2 linked regions of the Cricetulus griseus genome follow. The protein of the gene in region 1 interacts with the protein of each later gene in a biochemical or structural test. Links are inferred from orthologs where the notes say so. Each region holds a gene or a part of one and is shown in the gene's direction. Other genes may lie near its edges.

Region 1 (3,643 bases):
TTTTTGAGACAGTGTTTCTCTGTGTCATCTTGGCTGTCCTGGAACTCACTTTGTAGACCAGGCTGGCCTCCAACTCACAGAGATCCGCCTGCCTCTGCCTCCCCAGTGGTGGGATTAAAGGCGTGTGCCACCACCGCCCAGTGATCATATTCTTGATGTCAAGATGCATCCAGAACTTGAAAACATGCCACATGGGTGGGACAGAGACACATACTGACTAGGGATGTTTGACTTCTTGGTTGGACTTCCCTAGGAACTATCTTGAGTGTTGGCCATGGTCATTTCAGCTGCTTCTTTTTGGAGTTTTTCTTTTTAAATTAATTTTATTTATTTTTGATTGTTCTGAGACAGTGTCTTATGTAGCCTTGACTCAAAGTATGTCCAAAGACGACCTTGAACTACTGATCCTGCTTCTGCCTCCCAAATGCAAGGATGCTGGGTATGTGTTGCCCCACCCAGTGTCTGTTCTTCTGTACTGAGAGCCCCGACTGCTTTGAGAACCCCTCCAGTTCAGCAACTCCAACTGCACAACAGGGTGGCAAACATCCAGTCAGGACCTTTAGTAGAGGCTGCCGTTTGTACTGCCAAATAAAAGCCAAGAGCACCACTAACCAGGTCTCTTAATGAGGGTGTGCCCTCTCTTGTCCCTACAGGCTATGGCCTCGAGGGAAGAGCTGCATGCACAGTGTGCCCAGAGCTTTCAGGACAAAGACGAGCTTCGAAAGCAGGTTCGAGAGCTGAGTGAGAAGGCAGACGAGTTGCAGCTGCAGTTGTTCCAGAGTGAGGGCCGGTTAGTGGCCGCCGAGGGCAGACTCAAGCAGCAGCAGCTGGACATGCTCATCCTGGTAGGTCTCCCTGTCTGCTGTATCTTGGGCGGTCTGGGAAGTGAGGGAACTGGGGAGGACATGGGGTCAGGGCAAGATTCCAAGAGGGATCATGCAGCCTAGGGGCATCCCCATTCCTAACCTGGCACGGCTGGTGACCTGCTTGTGGCTTCCAAAAAATGCCTGGGCCTTCCTGAGTTCTTTTTCCTCTTTGGAGCTCCTCATGTCAGTGATAGACATATATGTAACTCAAGGTCCAGTCAGCACATAGGACAGCGGCCTTGATCATTCAGGTGGCTTAGTAGAGTAGAATTAAGAAAGACAGATGTTTTGGGCAGGGTCCTGAAGAGACGTACGGGCATGACTGAGCATGCAGGGCCTGCCTAGAGGATGGAGCCCTCACCATGCCTTGCACACCCCCTGCCCAGGTGCTTAGAACCCTGTAGCCCACTGACCAATTCCCTTTTCTGTGGCTACAGAGCTCTGACCTGGAGGACACTTCACCCAGGAACTCCCAGGAGGTGAGTGTGATCCAATGGGTGGGCACAGAGTGGGCCTCTTCCAGGCCTGCAACCTCCCTCTGACCCCACACTCATCTCCCACATGGTCCTGTTCACCTGAACTGGGCTGTCCCTTCTCTCTCCTTTTGGGTTGGATACAGGGAAGAGTGCTGACCAAATTCTGAGGCCTTTGTTTGTGAGCAAAGTGAGGCACCATCCAATGCCCACAGCCTGGCCTCTTAGGACAGGAACTTTATGCTAGGGTTCCCTTTGACCGTTGGCCTGGCTGGCACTGAGTCTCTGAGGATCTCTGTGCAGAGGGGTGACAGTGATGGCTGTACCAACTGAGAAGCTAAAGTCAAGTGGGCAGTGGGGTCGGCCACTGGAAGGACAATGGTGGCTTGTACCATGGCCTAACTGGGTGGCATGTCTCTGTCTGGAAGCTCTCACTGCCTCAGGATCTGGAGGAGGATGCCCAGCTCTCAGACAAAGGTGAGGAGGGGGGGTACCATGCTCTTCCAGAACCTCCCCTACCCCTAAGGCACCTGGGCTGTAGTCTCCTGGCCTCCCAGAGCCCTGGCCCATCCTTAGCACACAGAGTTGTGTGACTTACTCTGTCTCAGTAGTCACCACTCCAGGGACGGAAGAACTGAGGCACGGAATGGCAGTGGTGAAGGGCTAAATTTTTAGGCTAACACACCCAGAGAATAAGGAATCTGATTTGAACATGGGGCTTAGGTCTCAGGGTCTGTGGCTCAGAGGGCAGAGGGATATACTAGCCAGTATCCAGGTGTGCTCAGTGAGGAAGTAAGAGATGGTGCTATGGACAGAGCAGCAAGCAAGGAGATAGGGGTATGCTATCCACAGTAGCAGGCTGCCAAACAGGACTCTCCTCTGATCTGAGTGTTGGCTCATTAGTCCTGGGGGTGACAGTTGGGGGAGCTGGTGAGAACACTGTCCTGAAGTAGCTGGAGGTAGGAGGTGGGGGTCTGGTACAGGGAGGAGGAATCCTGAGAGCTTTCGTGAGAAGTTAGACAGACTTCCTCCACCCCGGGCTTTAACCAAAGGCAAAAGGGGAACAAGTGGTGCGGATGGAGAAGTGTAGAGGTGGCTCACCCACTGTAGCCCCCAGGAACCAAGTTGAGGCCACTGAGCTCCATGTGGGCACAAAAGGAGGAGAACCCAAGAACAGCCAGCTCCCTGAAAAGCATGCCAGGAGTTCATGAAAATGAGAGGGGTAGGGGATAGGTCTGCTGGTTGCTCTCGTACTCTGAGTATAACTGTTTCTTGAGGTATAACTGTTTCTTGAGGTTCATAGCCCTCCCTGGACACCTACCTGGAGACTTGAGCCGTGCTCTTCCCACCTAGTCTGGTCTAACTAATATAGTGTACTTGCTCTCACCTCCAGAGGTCCTGAGATCACCACTAGGCACATAAAGGAGATGTTCCTGTTGCCAAGCCAACAGGAACATGGCCTGGGACATGCATGAGCAAACTGTCCTGGAGACCAAGAGTCTTTCCTACCCATCCACCCTTGTATGTTTGGTGACAGTCAACTTGAAAGGTGTGGGTGGGTGAGTGATGGTAGGAGCCCTGTTGAGTACTCCTGGCAGCCAAAAGCTGGCTCAGCCTGTCCCTGTCTTAGGAAATGCAGTCTCCACTGGACTTGCCTGAGGATCCCAGCTCATAAGGACTAGTGCTAGTGGGGCTGTTAGCAGAGGGAGGTGGTGGCCATGCCAAATGCCTCCCCCCAACACACAGCTCTTCCTTTCAGGTGTCCTGGCAGACAGGGAGAGCCCAGAGCAGCCCTTCGTGGCTCAGAGCAAGGAGCAGCTTTCACAAACCCATGTAAGGCTGACTGGGGCCCCCAGAACCTTGGTGACTCAAGGGGAGGAAGGTGACTCCACCTGTACCCCTGGACAACTAGGGATCACAAGGTGCATGCATGTGATATAATGTTTGGGTAGTGTTTGGTACATGAAGTGGAGACCCCCCTTCTTGGACAGACCTCTAGATGTATGGTGGTTGGATGGGGTGGGAGCAACATGAAAGGACCCCCATGCAGCAAAAGAAGTGTATCAGGCTTTCTCTGGGTGGCTAACCAGATCCCAAATGATGTGGAAACTTATTAGTTATCAATGTTCAGCCTTATTCTTGTCCTACTAGGTCTTATAACTTAATTCAACCTGTTTCTCTTCATCTATGTTTTGCCTCGGGGCTTTTTGCCTTTCATTCTGCATGTCCTACTTTTCCTGCTTCCTCTGTGTCTGTCTGTCTGGTCTTTCTCACCCATTCTCTTCTCTCTCAAGCCTGGGTTCC
Region 2 (4,276 bases), on another chromosome or scaffold:
TGTAACTAATTCCAATAAACTCGATGGTTCACTATACCTTGGGTGCCCTGTCTGGGGAGAATAAACCTTTGCTCATGTCTCTAGGTCCTCTCCATCATCCCCTTTTATCCACCACCACTTTTCATAGTGTCTATCTATTTTTAATCTGATGGCCTTCTCCTGACCCACAGTCAGCAGCTGAACTCAGAGCTGACCTCTTGCAGGCACTAGGACAGCCACTACCTCCCCAGGGCCCAGCCTTTCCTTCCTCCTGCAAGCCTCACCACAAGCAAGGGAAAGGATCCCTGCCTTCTCTGTCCTGATGATGTAATGAGTATCCATCACTTCAAGAAACCCAAACCAAGGCAGGTCATTTCCCTGCTTGGAAGCCCAGTGCCTTCAATGAATTCTTCACAAAGTCCTCTACACCTTTCACCTTCCAATCCCAGCCCAACAGCATGGACACCCAGTGTGCTTCCCTTTCATGCCGCTGTGTTTGCTCTCTCTCTCTCTCTCTCTCTCTCTCTCTCTCTCTCTCTCTCTCTTTCTCTCTCTCTCTCTCCTCTCCTCTCTCTTCTCTCTCTCTCCCCTCCTCTCTCTCCCTCTTCTCTCTCTCCCTTTTTCTCTCTCCCCTCCTCTCTCTCTCCCTCCTCTCTCTCTCCCTCTCTCCCCTCCTCTCTCTCTCTCCCTCTTCTCTCTCTCCCTCTCCCCCTCTCTTTCCCTCTTTCTCTCTCCCTCTCTCTTTCTCTCTCCCTCTCCCTCTCTCTTTCTCTCTCCCTCTCCCCCCTCTCACTCTTCCCTTCCTTCCCCCCCCTCACACACACACAGCTGCTTAGAAATCCCTTACCTCCCCTCTATCTGGCACAAAAGACAAGATCTCCCATTACACTTTTTCCTCACCACACCACACACACACACACACACACACACACACACACACACACACACACACACACACACGCAGCAATGAAGAAACATTTGATGAATGTCAAGAACCCTTGAGGCCACACATTAGCCAGGATTCAAGTGAAGAGGAAATAGGACCTGAGGGTTTCAGTGTGTGGTAGCTTTGAACTTAGTCTAAGCCGTCTCCAATTTTATACCTACAATCTATGCAAACGTTATATTACATTCAGACTACACAGCGTCTTCTTGTCTTAATACTCAGTATTATTTTCCTCAAATCTTGATGACCCAAAAATTGATTGTTCATTGAGAAGGTCCTTACTTAGGCGCTGGCCACCCGTCCCCTGTCGCCATAACCCTATGCAAACCTGGCAGCTGTGCAGACCCAGAAAGAAACAGCTGGTTTTCATGTCCCTGCGGACCAGGAGCACAGTGGAGGCCAGGGAGGCCCCGCCCCTCCCCCGCCCGCCGTGGGGGCGGAGTACCTTGGGTCCCGCCCGTGGGGGCGGAGAGGGAGCCTGGGCACCGGGCAGCTCGGCTCGGCTGGTTCCGGGTTGAGAGGCTGCGCTGGACCGAAGCTGTGGCCGCTGAGCTGGTTCGGGTAAGGGGCCGCGCGGGGCCGGGATCTGCGGCCAGGGTCGGGCAGCTGAGCGGGCCGGCACCCCTCCTCTGCTCTGCCGGGCAAAGCCGCGGTGCGGCTGAGTCTGGCTGCTCTGTCCCGCAGAATTCCCCATCCCCAGCTCGCCCCGCTCTCAGAGCTGCCCGGGTCCCAGGATTCCAGCCCCACCGTGGCCTCCGTCCCCCTTCGGGATCTCCTCCTCGCAGCACCTATCCCTTGGGACTGTCTGGTCCTCTAGACCCTCCTCGCCTGGAGCCCCTTCCTTGGGACGCCCTCGGCCTCTCTCCTCCAGCGCCCATCGCTGGTGGCCACCTAGTACCTCGAAACCGAGCTCCGGGGCTCGCATCCCTGGTGGCCCCTACTCGGCACCGAGCCACCGTGCCCCCCGCGTCGCAGACAGCGCCCCCCGCGCTCCCAGGCGCCTGTCGTCCGTGCCCCCGTGGGCCTGGCCCCCGGGTACCGCCCCCGATCGTGCCGCGCCGGCTGCCAGCCTCCCGGGCTCCGCTCCGCACCGCCCCCGGCGCCATGGCGTGCAGCCTCAAGGACGAGCTGCTGTGCTCCATCTGCCTGAGCATCTACCAGGACCCGGTGAGCCTGGGCTGCGAGCACTACTTCTGCCGCCGCTGCATCACCGAACACTGGGTGCGGCAGGAGGCACAGGGCGCCCGCGACTGCCCGGAGTGCCGGCGCACGTTCGCCGAGCCCGCGCTCGCGCCCAGCCTCAAGCTGGCCAACATCGTGGAGCGCTACAGCGCCTTCCCGCTGGACGCCATCCTCAACGCGCGCCGCGCTGCGCGACCCTGCCAGGCGCATGACAAGGTCAAGCTCTTCTGCCTCACGGACCGCGCGCTGCTCTGCTTCTTCTGTGACGAGCCCGCGCTGCACGAGCAGCACCAGGTCACCGGCATCGACGACGCCTTCGAGGAGTTGCAGGTGCGTGGCTGGCAGGCGGGGCGTGGGTGGGGTCAGGGTTCCAGTAGGGGGCAGGGGGTACACAGGCCGACTTAATGCCAGAGGGGCGTGGTTGCGGTGAGGGGCGGGGAAGGGGGCGTGGCCCTCGGGCATCTCTCTGTCGAATGGGCTTGAGACAGATCTGGGGTGGGAGTCCATGCCTCGGAGACAGATCCAGAGTGGGGTGGGAACGATGGGTAGAGAGGGAGTCACAGCTGGACCAGATGCTGGCTGAGGCAGAATGAGAGACATCGGCTCCTACGGGCTAGGGCAGGACCACTGTCACAGCTAGCGCGGCGTGGGGAGATGGGAAATGTGCTATTCTAAATGCAGCCACGGTGGCAGGTTTGGGGGCATTGTGGGGTGCGGCTTGCTGCTCCAGGTGTTCATAGAGATCTAGAGTGAGAATCGGGCCTTGGCTGTGCCAAGCAGGTGGGGGTTAAGTTTAAGACATGCAAATTGCCCAGAGGGCAGATTTGGATGCCAAGGGGTTAGGTCAAGGTGTGTGAGTATCTAAGGTTGGGAATCCAGTTCAAATATGGCAAGAGCCGTTTTGGATTTAAACCCGAGAAGGGGCCAATTGAGAGTGGAACTGGGAAATGAAACTTCAAGATTTGGAGACTTAGCCTCAAAGGTGATTGGGGAAGGTGAAGACAGGCCAGGGCTAGACAGGGCCTCTTGATGACCACTGTTGACTGTCATCTACATGAAAATCTTTGAGTATTCGATTGAATACAGCCTCCAACTGCAGTCAATCTCCCCTAAACCTCCCTGTTGTCACTGACAAGCATGTATGTACGTATGTATACACATACATATATATGCTTTTATAGAAAGGGAAATGCACATATAGAGAAATATAGTTACATACACATCCTATGTATATGACTATCTGCCATTTGCCTGCATGTATGTATGCACATAATGAACATGTGTGGTACCCAAGAGGACAGAAGAAGGTGTCAGATCCCCTGGAACTGGAGTCATCACTGGATGCTGGGAACCAAACCCAGGTCCTCTGCAAGAGCAATTAGCTGCTGACTTTAAAAGGAAGCATTCCAACCGAGATCAGCTTTATTGGGATAATACACCATATCTCCCACAGCCTCCCCATTAGACAAATCTCGGTTACAGGTTACACATTTACCTGCTAAAGGCTTGGAGAAATCTTGAAGGAAAGATACCCCCTTAAGTTGATTTAACAAAGTGATTCCCAGGCTCGTTTGAATCCTTTTTACAAGCTGACCTATTTCAATCCAGCAATTATCCTCCCTGGCTTTGGGTTTCCTTGGTAGTTTATTGCCTCCCCGACATGGTGGATGAATGAATGAGTGAATGAATGAATGACCTAGCTTGGTCTAAGCTGGCCCAAACTAGAGGATTCAGAAGTGGAAGATGTTTTTACTTTATTTAAAAAAAAAAAAGCATGGCAAAAAAAAGCATGGCAGTGGTGGTGCATACCTTTTAGTTCCAGCACTCAGGAGAAAGAGGCAGGAAGATCTCTGTGAGCTCTAGGCCAGTCTGTCTACAGAGTAAGTTCCAGGATAGCCTGGGTTACCCAGAGAAACCCTATCTTGAAAAAAAAAAAAGGGGTCAGCTAACTTTGGAGTAGTGAGTTCTTCATTCCCTGCCTGGACCTTGCTGAGGCTTACCTGGAAAGAACTTACTTGAAGGGCTAGCCAGGGTAGGACCAACATCACCTGTTCCCTCCTTCCTCCTCCTGAGATCTCTGGAGAATGCATGTGCCCTGCTGGCTAAACTTCCAGCCACACCTCTCTCACCTGAGAAGGAGACACCCCTTGATGTCCCCTTTGGACTTAG

Evidence for each region.
Region 2: of the proteins of Card9 (region 1) and Trim62, one has a biochemical effect on the other in vitro, tested with the Homo sapiens proteins (4 studies listed by BioGRID, with this or other methods). The link is inferred for Cricetulus griseus from reciprocal best matches to the Homo sapiens genes CARD9 and TRIM62.

What each region holds. Positions count from the first base shown.
Region 1 is NC_048599.1:137,740,746-137,744,388, reverse strand, and holds part of Card9 (caspase recruitment domain-containing protein 9), read left to right. Parts: intron 1-653; coding exon 654-845; intron 846-1,303; coding exon 1,304-1,345; intron 1,346-1,767; coding exon 1,768-1,816; intron 1,817-3,098; coding exon 3,099-3,172; intron 3,173-3,643. UniProt on the Homo sapiens protein: Adapter protein that plays a key role in innate immune response against fungi by forming signaling complexes downstream of C-type lectin receptors.
Region 2 is NC_048595.1:24,132,351-24,136,626, reverse strand, and holds the start of Trim62 (E3 ubiquitin-protein ligase TRIM62), read left to right. Parts: upstream 1-1,375; 5' UTR 1,376-1,486; exon of another isoform or gene 1,487-1,609; 5' UTR 1,610-2,029; coding exon 2,030-2,437; intron 2,438-4,276. UniProt on the Homo sapiens protein: E3 ubiquitin ligase that plays a role in antifungal immunity by mediating 'Lys-27'-linked ubiquitination of CARD9 downstream of C-type lectin receptors; leading to CARD9 activation, followed by activation of NF-kappa-B and MAP kinase p38 pathways.